Drosophila melanogaster: one gene and its partners. The protein of the gene in region 3 interacts with the protein of the main gene of each other region in a pairwise test. Each region holds a gene or a part of one and is shown on either strand. Other genes may lie near its edges.

Region 1 (4,771 bases), 1.5 Mb from region 3:
CCCTACAAATGAGCGAGAAGGTCTTGCCTTCGGGGATTTCAACCTTGTCCATGGCATACGAAAAGAAAGATATGTTTTCCGCATTTGCAGAACTGTTGCCCAAGGAAATCTCAAAAAAGTTTACATTAGCTTATGTTCAGTTGAAAGTAAACCTTACAATTAAATGATAAATAATCAAAATAAGTCGCATAATAATCAATATAAACGGATGACAGTTGTGATGATCCAACCGAGCCCCCGATTTATAAACATACTTTTGGCAACTTTTGCATTGTCAATGCCAGAAATCTGAGTCATCTTAATAGGGTACCGTAATTGGTCACACCAGAGATGATCAACATAAAATAAATGTTTATGATCGTACTTATTGCTACGTTTATAATGAACTGCAAAGAGAACCGGATCGAATTACAAATCTGGGCAAACAAAAGCTTGAGCCACCCACCAAAAAGTGGTTTGCGAAACGTTTGTGCCGTTCACTTTTCTGTGGGCAAACAATTACGAAAGTTTTGCATTAAAAATTAATAGAATGGAAAACTTAATTCCAACTGTTGCACTTGGAGCGTCAAAGCGCCAATTGCTCGCCACTTGGAAGTGTGATCCTTGGGACTGTGAACAATATATGAATAAAAACTGAGATATATGTATGCAATTTCAACTTGATTTGCAACTACCACCCCGAAGGTTAATTTGCACAACTTTTTGGCCAGCGATAAACGTATGTTTTAAGTATCTCGAATATGGCCAAGATATGGAGGGGAAGGTCTCTCCGGGTTTATCGACTATATTTACTATATATATGTACACACACACACATAAATGCCATGATAACGGGCCAATGTCAGAAAATCTGATAGTCGCAAAGAAGCGAAGTAAAGCGATTGCGTTTTACTATGTGTCACGATTGCGGGAAAGGAAGGAGGAAACGTGAGCTCCGTTTTGGTTTCCACCGCAACAGGTATTGTAAAACTTCGAGTGGCCAAAAATGTCATACATTCAACGAGGTGAAAAGCAGCCGCAATAAAATATATATAACTTAAACGCCACCCGACAATAACAGACCCCTCGAAGATCTCACTTTTTGTGCACAGAACGTGACAAAAAGACAGACGAACATAATAATGGAAAACCAGTTTATAGAAAGAAAGAAAGACCCACCGCCAGATAATAAAAAGTGCTCAAAACTTAAAAAAAAAAAGAAGTCACAAATGGCCAAAAGGCGAAATTGATATGCAAGGGGCGTCGAGTGAAACGGTTAGAAAAGCTTGATGGCATTTTTGGGGTATTGTTCGAAAGGGGTGAATGTGGATGGGGGATGGGGAAGGGAAAGACGTTTCTTTCCACTTTTGATTCGATGCTGCCGACTGACTAAATAAATCGCAATGCATAAAATGCTAACTAGGCCAAAGTCACAACAAAAGACGCGAAAATATTGAGCCAAAGACGTCAGCAGGATGGCGCATACAACGCAGCAGCCACAACAAGTCGCCCCACTGCCCACTGCCCCGCCCACCGCCCACTATCACTGTCACCCCCACAAAAACAGACACAATAGCAGTCGAAATAATAGTTAAAAAACATGCATGCTTGTATTACGAAGGATTAATCATTTGATCACTCACAGTTGAAAAATGTAAATAAAATAAATATGTTAGCACGAGTTATTTTGTTTACCCAATCTAATATTTAAAGGCCAAGCATCTAACTAAACCCTGCGAAACAGGTTAGCTATACAATCAGACCATATGTTGCAGACCTTTATCTATGGGATTCTACGTGTAAACAAACAAAGCTAATCAGATGATATATGTGTGTTAAACATTCAATTTCCAGTGCTGAGACAGTGAAAGCTCTCATTGAAATGGCTAATTATGCAGTGCTATTATCTCGACCGCAGCTGTATGAGTCTTTTTTGAAAATAGAAAATGCTTAAATGCAGCACGCACGCACACATGCAGCGGCAAAAGGGGCAGCACGGGGGATTCCCCTTTTGAGAGGGGGTCTTCCGGAAACAAGCCAAACATATAGAACACATAGAACGGTGGTGGAAGGAGAAGCAGAAGCAGAAGAGGAGGCAGAGCCAAAAGCAGAAGCGACATGGAAACTAGGTCAACTCTCGACGCCATTGGAGCAGGCGAGTGTCCGACCGAGAGCGACGACAATGACGCCCGTCACACCCAGGCGCAACTAGCTCAAGGCCAAATCCGCACTGCAGCGGGGGGTTTGGGCGAGTCCTTCAACCTTTCGTTGGGCGAATGGTGGGGTGGGCTGCCGTTTTTAGACCGTCCTTGGAAGGGATTTGGATGGGATCTAACCGCATCGCATCTCACTTACCCGCTGCGAAATGCAATGGTGTGGATTTGCGTCCCGCCGTATCCCTGGCGTTCACGGTCTGAGGCGTTATTAGCTTCTTCACCTTGGCGATCTCGCCCGTTTTGCAGGCCTCGAAGAGCTCCCTCAGCGGATCGTTGGCCATGACCGCATCGAGATTAACGCTCAAAATGGCCCGACTTCGGCTGCTGTTGGCCATTGTTGTGCTTGTTTGCTACGCTTTGGCACACACACGCCCCGAAAAAAATAGGCAACAAAAAACAAGCGCAATATTCAGTGGGCTTTCGGGTTTTCCACTCCCAGTCCAGTTCTCTCCTCCAGCAGTTGCTCTGCCCGTCCTACACAAGCCTCGCCGTTGTCCGTCGCTGGCTTGCCCGCATCCTGTATCCAGGTGTCCTGCCTATGCCGCAGGAGCAACAATTTGCCACTGGCTGCCACGCGACCAGCCCTCGTTTTTGCTTAATATTTAATGCACAATTGCAGACCCAAAATCAATAGGATTTCTTTGGTTCGACACAGCACGGTTGCAAGGATCGCGGTTGGCTACGATTCGTTTTTACTGAGACTGCGACCAACTCTGGGACTAGCTCCCTGGTACTTGGCCTCCAAAGCTCTGGGCACGGACGATTATTTCCGGATTAATTCACTGCTCCGCGAAATATTGCATTGTTTTGTGACCGAGTAAGAGTGACCGTTCGCGGGGTGGTCGAATATTCCAGGTTGAGTCAAGCGGTGTGACCAGGCGACGGGGCAAGCCATTCTGAAAAAATACTGAAGTCCTCGAATCACATAAGCTTTTCCATTAATTATATTTTTTAAATTTAATAGCTTATGTTCTCACAAGGTTTTACACAAATTTGTGCTTCAGTGTGCACTCACTATTTGGTGAAAAGCGAAAAGACGTTTGCATCTATATTGTGTTATAAGAAACAATTTTTTTTGTTAACCAAATAGACAATATTCAATTGGTGGTACAAAAATTAAGATCATCATTTTTATGAGCTTAAATTAGAATTCTTAAATTAGAAAAGGCCATGTAGGAATTTCAATTATCCTAATATAAGCACATAAGCCTATTACTAGGGAAAAAATCTCAAAAAAATTTTTTAAAATAATAGCAAGTACCTGTTACAACAACATGCAATCCCAATTGGCATTGCTATCGATAGCTTGAAAAACACCTGTTTGGCCATCCCTGGTTGGCTGTTGGTGCAATCGATTTTTGGCATCGACTGGATGCCCATGCCAACAACAATGTTTGCTTTTAAAATTTAGATTAAATCCGTTAAAAATCCGTGAAATCAAAACAAAAGCAGTGGAGCTGCTTCACAACAAGATTATCGTGCTTACTAGAAAGTGAAGAACCACGGAGTTACCGCGCCGGAAGTACAAAAGTAATCACCAAATCGGAAATCCGAAAAGTGAATCAGAATTTTTCTAGCTCACACACACACGCGCGCATACCCGCACGCCCAGCAAACACTCATGCAAGCGTATGGAACCAGTCGTGTTGTTGTTGTTGCTGTGAATAAGTGCAAGTGAAGAAGAAGCAGAAACTGTGATCGGAAAATTAAGCAAAAAAGAAAAACAGGCGAGGAAAAGTGGGGTTGGGGAAAAGCAGACGGAAAAGTGGAAAGGCGGAGTGCAGCTAACACGCTTCGCTGGCTGCGCGACAGCAGAACGCCAGTCAAGCGCCAAAAACCATTAGTAGAACCCCATTTCCAGCTGGAGCGGCACAAGAAAGCAATTTTCTGGTAGCAGAAACACCAAGAAACGAAAATAATTGGCCGATCTTTAGAGACTCGACTCGACGACAATTAGCCGGAATGGAGCTGAAAGTTTGGGTCGAGGGCATCCAGCGGATAGTTTGCGGCGTTACAGTGAACACCACATGTCAGGTATGTGAGCTACAGCAGAGGTCAAAATAATAGCACTATTATCTTGTTAAAGCATTTTACACTGCTGCAGTGCTGTTAATGTGACCCGAACTGTATGCGCTCTGTTTGCTAGTCAGTTTGCCCTAATTATCGTTTTATTTTCCACAGGATGTGGTTTTTGCTTTGGCCCATGCCACTGGAAAAGTGGGCAGATTCACTTTAATCGAAAGGTGGCGCAATAACGAACGCCACCTGGCCCCCAATGAGAATCCAATGAAGCTGCTGCTCAAATGGGGCGAGTATGCAAATGATGTGCAGTTTATATTACAACGTTCGGAAAACAAAACACAGCAGCAGCAGCAGCAACAACAACAGCAGCAGCAGAACAATAATAATAATAACAACTATGCTGTGATGACAACAACAAAAAAGCCGCTGGGGCCGAACAACAATAACAATAATAAGCCAGCGCCCACTTTGCTAAAGCAAAAGTCGAACGTCGAACTCAGCTACCGCACAAAGGAATTGAAAAAAAGTTTCGGGTGGGTGGTTTTTATATGCTA
Region 2 (4,998 bases), 5.9 Mb from region 3:
TCCAAGCCAGTGGAAGAGTGGAGTTCCCGATCTCAGGACTCTCACTCCGGCGGAATAGCTAATCACGCCCCTTTGTGCCAGGGGCCACTAATTACCATGTTTCCTGGTAACGTCAATCTGACGCACTTAAGTGCGGAAAATCAATGAACATTAATGACCCGGTCCCTTTATTAATAAATTGTAAGTGGGCCAATTGACTGACGACTGAACGCGACTTTGAAATTCAGGCAATGAAAGGTCTAGGAATAGCAGTACACTGTGCGGAGTTTCGAATACCACTTAGAAAGTGATTTTGAAGTTGGAAAACCGAATGAAATATTCACCATTTAAGCTAGTTTCTATGAATAAATGAGCGCTTGCAGCAACAGATAAAAGTTCATTGACTTTGATTTATTTATGAATGAAATATTCATAATGCATAGGCTTTTTAATTAGAATAATAACATTAAATCGCAGGCAGTAATTTCTTCCGGTGTAGGAACCACCTCTATTCGCAAATGCAAGCACTTTTTTTTTGGGTGTGTCGGGGGGCGGTGGGAGGTGGGCGGTGGCAGGGGGCGTGGAACGAACAGGTATTTTCGGTTTAGTTGTTACGAAATAAGTGGCGAAAATTGACGTGCCGAAAGCGAAGGCAAAAAACCAAAACAAACAAACACGAAAACTCAGGCAAATGCGCCGTACGCTTTGCATTGTTTTTTCGCCCACTTTTTATGGATCGAATTTAACGACAATCTTTGGCCTTTTGTTGCTTTAATTGCCCTAGCTGTCCGCACTCACCTTTGCTGGACTTTTCGCGCAGTGCAGCTGCCTCGAAGGAGCCCAATGCCTGCATTATTTCGCGGTCGCCACTTTCCTTGCGGTCAATCGATTTTTCAGAGCGCCCCGAAAAGTCCAAGTGCAGCAGTGTAACGAATTCGCAGCTTTCGTTCGCTTTTCCGTGCATTTCGGAATTTGCACTAATTGGTAGGATTCCCCGGGGAATCGAATCCGTCACTTTTAATCCTGTTTGCTGTTCTTTTCGCACTCGCTTTTGTTTTTGCAATGCAGGCTCCTGCACTTGCGGTACACACACATACCAGCAGCTGCTACGGCCGCCGCTGCACACACACACACGCACAGCGGGCAAACGGGCATCTCTCTAGCTCTACCCGTCTCGCTTCAACCCACTGCCGCGCGCATTTTCACATTTCCCGCATTTGTTGCTACTTCGCTTGATTTATTCGGCGTTCATCTGGGCGTTCCGTTTTCACTTTCGCCTGGCTGGGGCAACAACAAGCTCGCGATCGAGTATCTCAGCTCGGCCGTCCGCTGCGAACGAGTATCTGAGTAGCTGAGTAACTGAGTATCTGAGCGTGAGTATCTGTATCCGAGTGTCTCGCGGAATCGGAATCAACACAAACAGCTGTTAGGGCTGCGATGGCAAGAATCGATAGCTTAGCGATAGGAAATCGATAGTTTGGGATTTAAAAATTGAACAAACAAAATCGTTTATTAACTTGATTTGGGAAATCAAACAGGTGTAATTCATACATCAGCGCAGTCTCCTGGCCTCGCGTTCAGTTTCCAGCAGCGACAGGATGTCGCCCACGCGAACAGGTCCTTTGACATTCCGAATAATCTGGCGGCTTTGGTCGCCGAGGAACTCCACCCGCACCTGGGTGCACTGCCCTTGGGATCCAGTGCGTCCAAGGATCTCGACCACGCGAGCGTACTGAGGCTTGTCCATGCTGAATACGAAATTCGAGAATTGTTCGACAATAAAAGATTTGAATTTGAAGCTGTGAGTGCTGCTGCCTTTCCAGTCGATGAAAATAGAAAACCTATCTACCCTTCTATCATCCCTGGCGCCACCTGTAGGCCTTGTAGCGCAACATAAGTGCGGACGCGAACCACAAGGTGACCCCAAGTCGAGCTGCCACCTTTCGCAGTGTTGGCAATCCAGTTGGCATCCCCGAGGCGAGCTATCGAACCAGTTCGATTTCGAACCACGCAACTCTAGCATGTAATCGTTCGTCTCGCCGTCTAACATTTGTGTCGAACTACATTTTGTTTTGCCATTCAATAAATCTATTATTTACCACTGAATAAGCGGCGCCACGGAGCCCTAAAAGAGTGTGCGCGTTCCGGAGACTCGGCGCACAGCGGCCCGCAGCGATACGTCCATGAAAATCGAACGGCAACAGCAGCAGCACCCACAACCAGCGGAGGCAACAGCAACAAAATACACAAAATAAAGAAGCAGCAGACGGAAAAGTGCACAAATGGTGCAGAACTGAGTGGAAAGGCCACCGAGCACAGATTTCTCACAGTGCAGGAGCCCGGAGACGCCGAAATGCTCTAGAGGGCGGCGCTTCAGCACGATTTTCTCCCCGCGGAGAGCCCAAAGTTGCCAGCGGACGAGGATGACTGCTCCTGGCGAAGCATTAAGTTAAGAGACATACAGCCATTGTTTACAGCAGGCAGCTCAGACACCGGGATAGGATAGGATAGGATATGCCCTCGGGCCAGCCCACTTGAGTTGAGGAGAGCAGAGGAGAGGATCGGGATCCGTGCGCGAGGAGAGGATCTGCAGCCTTGTTTAGCATTTAGTCCGGTCATCGTGCCAGCGCCTTGTTAACCACACTCTCTTGTTTACGTTTGCTTGTTTGTTGAACTCCACAAATCGTCCTTCCATTAATTGTTAGTCACGCGTCCCTCTCGTTGAGCACACTAATCAAAATGAAAGCATCCTCGTCGATATCGAAATTGAAGTTGAAATTGAAATCGAAATTGAAAGCTAAGTTGCAATTGAAATCGAAGCGTCCAGCCGTTAAAGCTACAATCAAATTACACCCGTCCAAACCCACCTCGTCATCGCCATTGCCATCGTCACCGCCATCGAAGATTGGAGCCAGGGCCGTCAGGACTGCGCCAGGATCAGTCGTCTGCCATCCCAATTGAGTGAAGCCGAGGATACACGAATCTAAGGGTGAGTACTGCTCTTGGAATTCCCATGCACAATCCATAACTAATGCTATTACTTTCTTACGCAGTTTGTGGATTATTGGATTTGCACAACTTACTTAAGGACTAATATTAATACTTTAAGAAAGGCACAACATAAGTCTGATTAATGATCTAGTTGTATCAAGGGAAATGATTGGAATTAGACAATTTATTCACGTCTAACTAATATCTCAAATATTAATAGTAATTTGAATGATCCTTTGTAAGAAATGTGAGCATATATTTTGCAATAATAGTAACTTTATGAAATGTATATTTCATTAAATCGAAGGATGATACCTGATCATTGAAAAAGTCATTTAGAACGCCATGCAAATTCTAATCATCCAACTAAAATATTGCTCAATTAATTAGTTTGCAGCACATTTAATTTATTTCTGAGGTGTATGTGCCAATGGGATCCCATAGAAACTGTATATATCTTTTAACTTCATTAACAAATCAATTAATTAACAAAACAGTAAAACATAATTATATTATCATCCTGCATTCATATCCATAATATACAATGTTACCTATTTAACAATTTACACATCCTCTTCTTTCAGGTACTGAATGTACTGCATCAACTGTAATATAAGCTACGTAAATAGGAATTTATGCGAATAAGAGTAATTAAGTGAAGCGTGTAGTTAAACATTTCTACAAACCGGACATAAAAAGATTCAACCATCTTAAAGGACTTGCAGCGCTATGGATTGATATGTTCTCAAGCGTTGGCCATTTCTCACTTGAGTTTAATCGGTTAGTGTTCTATCACCCTTTATATTCAAAGCATTCTTTAGATTTATTTAGGCGTTTATTGGATGCACCCGTGCGCGAAATATTTTCTCCCCCACAAATCCAATATGTATGGCTTATTGAAAAAAAGGAGGCACTTGGGTGGTTGCTACTGATTGATTTAAAGTTCGCTGTGTTGAAAACTAATTCGATTTGGGCTCTGAAATGTAAATTTATTTAAGCTGAGCCAAAAATAATATTTATACAATTTTATCTCTATTAAAATACCTTCCAATTTTATCTTTGATGCAATATTTATGACTGGCATATAAAAAAGTTTTTTTGTTTAATTTATTTATGGTATTTGTATTATGTTTTGGTTTGAATGATTATTTATGAGATGCACGAGACTAAAGATTTTTCTTAAAATTATTTTCATTGTTTTGGACTTACTTTCTTGGCGAACAAAAATATACCCAATGGCCAAATCTCTTTTCTCCCAATTGATAATTGATAATATCCTTATGTATAAAGCTTGCCTATTATATATACATATTTTATATACATTTATTTATATATATGTATATTTAAAACAGAGTAAAAGTGTTCATAATTTTTTTAACTATCCCATAATGCTTGGTAAGGCTAGAAACATTAGTCTTCAGATAAAACTTTAACTTTAACATATAACATAAATTTATACCAAATGGATAACAATGGCTCTAATCTTTTTTTTTTCCAAACTCTTAACTATATGTTTACAACCTTAGTCTTTCGAACAAATATTTTAGTATTATATATTGTCTTAGCTTATTTCAAAATGATTTCAATTGATCTAATCTTTTCTTCATTTCACTATTCTTTCAGGAACAACTGGAACCATTCGGAATACCAATATCTTCCCCTGATTTCATGTTGAATTTTTTATGCAAATTACATATGTGAGTATACAACTTATTTTTACTTTGTCAATGGTTTTGAAGTTTAAGACAACTACGATTGCATGCGAGAATCTCAGAAATATAAACTAGTATGAAAAACTGATTTACATTGATATACTTAGGTCCTTTTCCATTTCTCGAAACCTAATAATCATGACATCCTGAAGGGTTTTAATAAATCCTTTTTAATTGGTTATTATTCGGAAACTACCTTTTCACTCAATTGAAAAATCCTCTTAGTGCAATAAGGATACCATGATTTCACTATTGTTTATTGGGCTGCAGCACTCTGATTAAGGAATTGAATAAGTTTCCGTTGTCTCGGAGAGGA
Region 3 (6,597 bases):
ATATTTGTAGCACCAACATCCATATCTCAGCGCCATGGTGAACAATGGCAGCTGGAGCTACGACCACGATCGCGATGGAACGCACACTCAGCTGGCCGGCTGCGAAGTTCGTTTCCGCAATGTGGAGTACGAGACGCTGGTTAGCATTCGATACGAAAACGACATTCTGTCGGTTTCCACAGATCTGGAGAACCGCAACGAATGGAAGAACTGCTTTGTAGTGGCCAACGTTGAGCTACCCACGGGCTACCACTTCGGCATGTCTGCGACGACGGGTGATCTGTCCGACAATCACGATATTCACAGTTTCAAGTTCTATGACCTGGACTTGAACGTAAATGTAAGTTCACTTTTGTTTGCCAAACTTCGGAAGCGAAGTAAGCATTACTCAGCTGTCTGCTATTTGGCTAACGCGATAAGGAGTGCAAGGAACCCAAAAGCGGACTTAAGTTTCAATAACTGCGTATACGTATAAAGAAAAAAGAGTGAACTTGTTTTTAATTGCTGCAACTTGTAATAATTAAGCAGCTGGCTTTAAACACATTGTTTGATGCCTAATCATGTTTATCTTTATAAGCCGTGTGTTATAATATTTATATCATATTACTGAAAACCAGTTTTACTTTCTTGTTGCAATAACCATCTTTTTACTTTCTTTCTTGTTCGCAGCACGATGAGATTATCCGGCGCTCCAATATCATACCGAATGCCAAGACATTCGAGCCCCCGCGCGAGCACAAAGAAGATCCCAAGCCGGGAATGTCCAACGCCAAGATCTTCTTCATCCTTCTCTTCGTGGTTGTCGTGGCGGCTGCAGTGGCCATCTTCGCCATCTCCTACTTCAAGGATCGCAACGCGCGAAAACGTTTCTACTGAGCTCTCTAGCTAGTTCATCACAGTAGCATCATGTTAGGAGTTACCCGGACCTCAGTTGATCGCAACTTTTATTTATATTTATACCGCGACTGTATCCCATTTCTTATCACCCTTTTTAGTTTCCTTAATTGTTTAGTGAGAGGGTAAACATAATATTACACGTGTTGGAGAGTTAAATTTAAGTGCAAATTTTTAATCTGAACTATAGGAAAATTGAGACCGTGAGAATATTATTGCGTAGACAAGATTAAAAGCCACTAAACAAATGCATGCGCTTCTCAATTAACCAACCATCCGCTTCTAGTGCTGACGCCCAGCCAACATGGACTCAATCTGGCGCACCTGGTTACTGACAAATCGATCCCGGGCACTGATCTCCTGGCGCTGCCCCGGCGGCTCACCCTCCGACTCCAAGGCGTCGTTGGACTTATGCATGCCGCTCAGAATGCACTGCTCAAATAGCGACTTGGACCGTGCATCATCGTCGTCGTCGTCTAGCGAGTCATCTGAGCTGTAGTTCGGCTTATCGCCATGCTCCACCTGCTTCTTTGACTGCCCATTTTCCCTGCATAGAGTGCTGGTACTAGCGTTCGCCAGGCTGGAGCTGGTACTGGCACCGCTGGGCTGAGGTCGACAACTTCCCGCAGCAATGGCCTATAAAAAGAGGGAACAACTTTAATATTTCTGATTTTAGCGAGAATTTTCTGACTGCATTTTAAATTTAACTTTTGTGAAATATCAACATTCCGATTGCTAAATCTACAAAGACACTTATTTTTGAGTGAGTCTCTCACAAAATGTTTATATGGTGAAATATATCAAGTGTTTTGAATGAAGTATCCTTTTCTCACCTGACTTAGAAGATTACAGTCGTCATCCGAGTCCATGGACAATGAGCTCAGTGAGTCGCTTTTCTTCGGCGGTAAGCGTGGCTCCGCATCTCCTTGAACGGCACTACGTCTGGGAGGAAGTTTGGGTGCCTGAGCCTCTTCTGCAGTCCTCATTGGCAGCTTCAGAACAGGCCCAGCCTTAGCAGAGCCAACAGTGAGATGGGATAGTCCCGAGATGACCGAAAACGTGCAGGGACTGTCCTCGACATAGTACTTGCTCATTTCATCCGACACTGGCAGATAACTGGGCAATGCATTGCCACCGCAGCGCATCTTAGAGATTGCATCTTCTGCCGGCATCCGAGTGTCCATTCCGGTAACATCAGCTCGCGGAGCAGGCACTGGCTGCGCTTCATTCGCATTTAGATCATTCGGGATGGACAAAATGGACAGATCACTATTGCTTGGCGCTTTGGAAAGCACGGCAGTAGTGTCCTCTGTGCAATAGCTGCGAGGAGCATCCCCATTGCCGTTGATGTCATTTCCACGCTGTCCTCGAATAGCGTTTGCATTAGAGTCGTCCATCATGCTCAGATTACTTAGACTGGTGGCGCAGGAGAAGGCAGCAGGCGTGTGCTCCACGTGGAATCTGTTCAACTTGTCCTCAAACACAGTACTGGGCTTCTGTTCAGGTGTGTCCAAGTTATTTTGAGTGGACACTTTTCTGTCCCTTCTCGGAGATTGAGGCATACTCTGGGTGGGTGAATCGGGCAGCTCTGAGGGGGAAATAACACCACTCTGCATCCGGCTGTATTCACTGATCACGGATCCATTGTCCTCGCAGGCAACCGTTTCGTCGTCGCCAACCAATGAGTCCATAGAGCTGCGACGCGAAAACATTAATGGAGTTTCTAGTGCGGAATCGATGTTTTGAGGCGTATTTCCGTCAACGTGCACCGGGAGAACCGCAGTTTTCGTTGGAGTTTTTGGCGGCATACATTTCTCCGGTTTCTCTGTGAGGCTGTTGAGCGAGTCGAAGCGACTGAAGCTGCCGGGAGTCCCTTCTTCACAGTAGTTTATTGGTCGCTCTGCCGTTTCCGTCTCCGTTTCGGTGGCAATTTTCTGCTTAGCTGCTGAAACCGCCACCAGGCCAGGACTATTGCGCAGCTCCGTGGCCGAGGAGGACTTTGTCAGTTGCAACTCCTTACTTCTAATCTCATTGGTCTCCGACTTCAGCTCCGGCTGTGCCGTCTGAGCGGATCGTCTCTCCTTATATCTAGCACTGAAATCCGTTGGCTGATCCAAGTCGATCTCAAAGGTCTTACTGCTATTGGGTTTGTGCTCCATGTACTTCATGGAGTAGTCAATGGGCTGCTCTTCAGTGGGTGTCACAATTTCGAAGGGATTCTTCGCTCCCTCCGACTTGGTTGAGTATTTAGTGGAATCGGATTTGCCCGAGTAAATGGACTCTCGGCTCTCACATTTTCTGTTCAGAAAGCCAGTTGTGCTGACTGTTGAGGGTCGCACTTTCTTAAGCGATCCCGTGGGATTTGAGCTTAGGCGCAGTGAGCTGAATCTCCGTGGCAGCGTACCTCCATGGCCAGCTTCCTTGTCTAGTGGCAGTGACCCACCATCTCCATTGGGCATAAGCTCCTGAGTGGCCCTGAAATTAACTAGGTTTTTCAAAGCCGAGGCACTGCCCTCCGCAATCATGGAGTTCTTGGAGCTGATTAGGGCCCGCAAGAGCGGGATGGCATTGTGGTCAATGAGGTATTGCTGGTCCTCGGGACAGCGCGCCGAGAGATTCCACAGAGTTCCGCAGGAGTTGCTTACCACGGTTAGGCTCTCCGATTTCAACTGTTGCAACAGAATGGCAAGGCAATTGTACCGTCTTAGGATTTGTCGGTACGGCTCACACACCGCAATATGGCTCGATACATTTCGAAGAATGCCGCCTGCATTTTCGATGATCTTAAGAGTTTTACTCGGACCCTCGTAGCTAAGCATTCCGACCAAAAATGCCAGTGCTCCGTCTACTGCACAAAACTCCGCCTTGTTGGTGCTGCAGTGCGCTGAGAGATTCCAAAGGGCTGAAAGTATGGCCTTGAGAGTGTTCTCGTTCTTGTTTTGCATGGCTGCTCGAGCCAAGGAGGTCACAGTACCCAGCTCGTTAAAGATAGTCTTCATGTGTTTGTCCGCGCGCCACGAAAGATTGCGAAGCACACCAGCAAGAACCTGATGAGATCAACGGTAATTAAATTACGATCTTTTTTTCTTAATCTCCAAGATTAAACTCACCTGTAGCAGTTCATCCGGAGCCGTGTTCAATTGAGCAATGACCACTTCCATGAACTGTCGCTGACCGCACAGATACGATTTGTTATGGACGTTCTCGTCTCCGAAGGTGAGATTCGTGAGGGCCATGAGGCCGTAGCTCCTGAGGGCGTTGCACTGTTCCCTACCGGCAGCCGGTCCATGGACCGCATGATCAAGGTGGACCAAATTGGGAATCGCCTTGAGGGCTCCCAGTTCGCACATAGTCTGGCGGTGCTCCTCGTCGAAACTGGCTTTCATCAGGAGCTTCATAGCCGCCAGCGGATGACGATCTTCATCATCTGCGATAGCCTCACCGCCGCTCTGCAACTGGGTGTGCAGAAAGTTACAGTAGTCGAGGATCTGGTCCAGCAGGCGCAGCATCTTCACCTCCCGCTGGCGCTCCTTCTCCTCCGGATTATTGTGGACGATGTTGTGCAGCGCCTGGCTGGCGTACTTTTTCGCCGTGGAGAGGCCTTCGTCGTTGGCGTGCAGAATCTGCACCAGAAGCTGGATACAGTCCGAGCTGCGCAGGGCGGTGCATGTTTCCGGATTTCGAGACAGTTCCAGGAAGTTGCGCGTCAGCTCCAGGCGAGTAGCGTCGCTCTCGTTCAGCGTCATTACTTTGAATGTATCCTCACCTATTAGTGCATTCGGATACCAGGGATTCTGGGAATAAACCTTTGCAGCTTTGCTTCTGGATGAGTCCTGTTGCACGGTCGCTTCAACAGGTAGTTCCTTCTGATCTGAGATCCTCGATCTTTGTTTGAGATGGCCTGCGTTTAAGCCATTTTCCAAGCGCGCAGGCTCAGCGCTCCAGTGCTACCGATTAAGCTAATTTATAGCTAGTTCTGCCCAAGTTCAATGATCAGTCAAAGTTCTTTCGAATAAAGGGATTAATACAAAGTTAACTCTATTTATTAAGGAAGCTCTCAAAATGTTGTTTATTTATATATTTTAAATAAGCGTGCAATAATTTTATTACATTACATTATTACATTTTCCCACCGACAACTGTTGACAACTCTGCCCCGCTTTAAAACAAAATAAAAATCGATTTTAATCAATGCAATAGAGATCCAAGTATTGCATTTAAGAACTAAAAAGGGCATTTACACAACTAAAAATTAATCTTTCTGTGTTTTTATTTAACTACTTCCTTCAATGTTGTTTTTTATTTTATAGAAAATATTTTCACTACACAATAATAATATCGAATACTTATCTATAAATTTGTCCATCTCTAGCGAACCGTTACGTCACGTCAATCAGCTGTTGCTGGACGCAAAATTGTTTCTGCCGCAAAATAATGAACTTCTTGAAAAAGGTGTGTTAAATAACAACAAACAGGACAAATTATATATTAAAATAACCTAATCTATTGCAGCTGTTGCCCCAGGTGGCGACCGAGGTGCAGCAGCTCAGCCGGTCAGGATTCCACACCAGCTCCGTGTGCTGTCGCGTGCAATCCGGGCGATACCGCATAACCACAAAGCGAAACAGGCCTCTTACCTACGAGATGGCCAATCCGCCGCATTTTATTGGCCACCGCAAATCGTGGAACTCATGGAACACGTGTAAGTTGTGAGAAAATTTTATTAAGGAAGCATTTTGATGGCCACCTTCTATCTTAGCAACAATGAAGGATGCCCTGCGTCCGTCCCAGACCGCCATAGAGGATGTGTTCATCCGCAAGTTTGTCACCGGCACATGGCATGCCCTCGTCTGCTCCGAGGTCATTATCAAGCGACAGCACAACACCATTAGGATCGCGGCCCTTATTCGGCAGGCGATTACACCGCGAAAAATGTACTTCCTTATTGGTTACACGGAGGAGCTGCTCTCCTATTGGATGCAGTGTCCAGTGACCTTGGAACTGCAAACGGTGGGCGATAAAAAGGACGTGGTCTTCAAATACATTTAGTTCATTCTGCTATATACATGTCCAATATAAAAGTGTAGATTTACTTAGTGCGTGTACTCGACTTCGCTGCTGTTGTTTTGTAGTGATTTGATGGCCTTGTTTACGATAATAACACCGTCAAGATCCTTTACCTAAGGCAAATTTTGGATAAGTTATGGCTTAGCAAATGGTTTCCTTATTTACTTACCGTTTCTATAAGTCTTTTGACGTCTGCTAAAGATGTTTGCTTTAGTATCGAGGACCTTATGTCCTTAACTAGTTCTACAAACAGGAAAACAACAATCTTCCGGGACCCTCCACAGACTTTGTCCCATATCTTGACCAAATGAGTTGTACAGATTATTCCAGCAAAGCAGGTTATATACCAGTTATCCAGTAGCGTTGAGTTGCCATCAAACAGGCCCAGAAGCTCCAGGTGACTATAAGGAGTAATCGAAGAAAATTGGTCAAATAACCCGACTAACCATATGCAAACTCACTTAAGCAAGGACAAATCTTCGCGCTTCAGTATATTCTGCGTTTGCTCCTTCAGCTTGACGCACTCCTTCTTCAGTTCGCGGGTGTACTTGTAGAATCCCTTTGCTATCCAGTAGGTTTCCACGTTGTCGTCGAATATCTGCAGCAACGTGCGCACAATCTCTATGAAGTGCATGT

What was found.
Region 1: the proteins of Apc2 (region 3) and Tnks interact in a two-hybrid assay, tested with the Drosophila melanogaster proteins (one study listed by BioGRID).
Region 2: the proteins of Apc2 (region 3) and Axn interact in a two-hybrid assay, tested with the Drosophila melanogaster proteins (3 studies listed by BioGRID, with this or other methods).

What each region holds. Positions count from the first base shown.
Region 1 is NT_033777.3:25,658,258-25,663,028, forward strand, and holds the start of Tnks (tankyrase), read right to left. Parts: upstream 3,030-4,771; 5' UTR 2,531-3,029; coding exon 2,335-2,530; intron 18-2,334; exon of another isoform or gene 1-17. Other genes in the region: RASSF8 (Ras association domain family member 8), read left to right, coding at 4,158-4,229, 4,377-4,750. UniProt on the Drosophila melanogaster protein: Stimulates proteasome activity, probably by ADP-ribosylation of PI31. Modulates 26S proteasome assembly.
Region 2 is NT_033777.3:30,020,873-30,025,870, forward strand, and holds the start of Axn (axin), read left to right. Parts: upstream 1-1,969; 5' UTR 1,970-2,968; intron 2,969-3,554; 5' UTR 3,555-3,750; intron 3,751-4,593; 5' UTR 4,594-4,667; intron 4,668-4,998. Other genes in the region: RpS28a (ribosomal protein S28a), read right to left, coding at 1,532-1,726.
Region 3 is NT_033777.3:24,162,217-24,168,813, reverse strand, and holds Apc2 (adenomatous polyposis coli 2), read right to left. Parts: upstream 4,849-6,597; 5' UTR 4,641-4,848; coding exon 4,005-4,640; intron 3,942-4,004; coding exon 1,728-3,941; intron 1,531-1,727; coding exon 1,177-1,530; 3' UTR 877-1,176; coding exon of another isoform or gene 670-876; 3' UTR 550-669; downstream 1-549. Other genes in the region: CG5510 (uncharacterized protein), read left to right, coding at 11-340, 670-876; mRpS24 (mitochondrial ribosomal protein S24), read left to right, coding at 5,329-5,346, 5,407-5,596, 5,654-5,943; TBC1d7 (TBC1 domain family member 7), read right to left, coding at 5,988-6,074, 6,131-6,362, 6,423-6,597.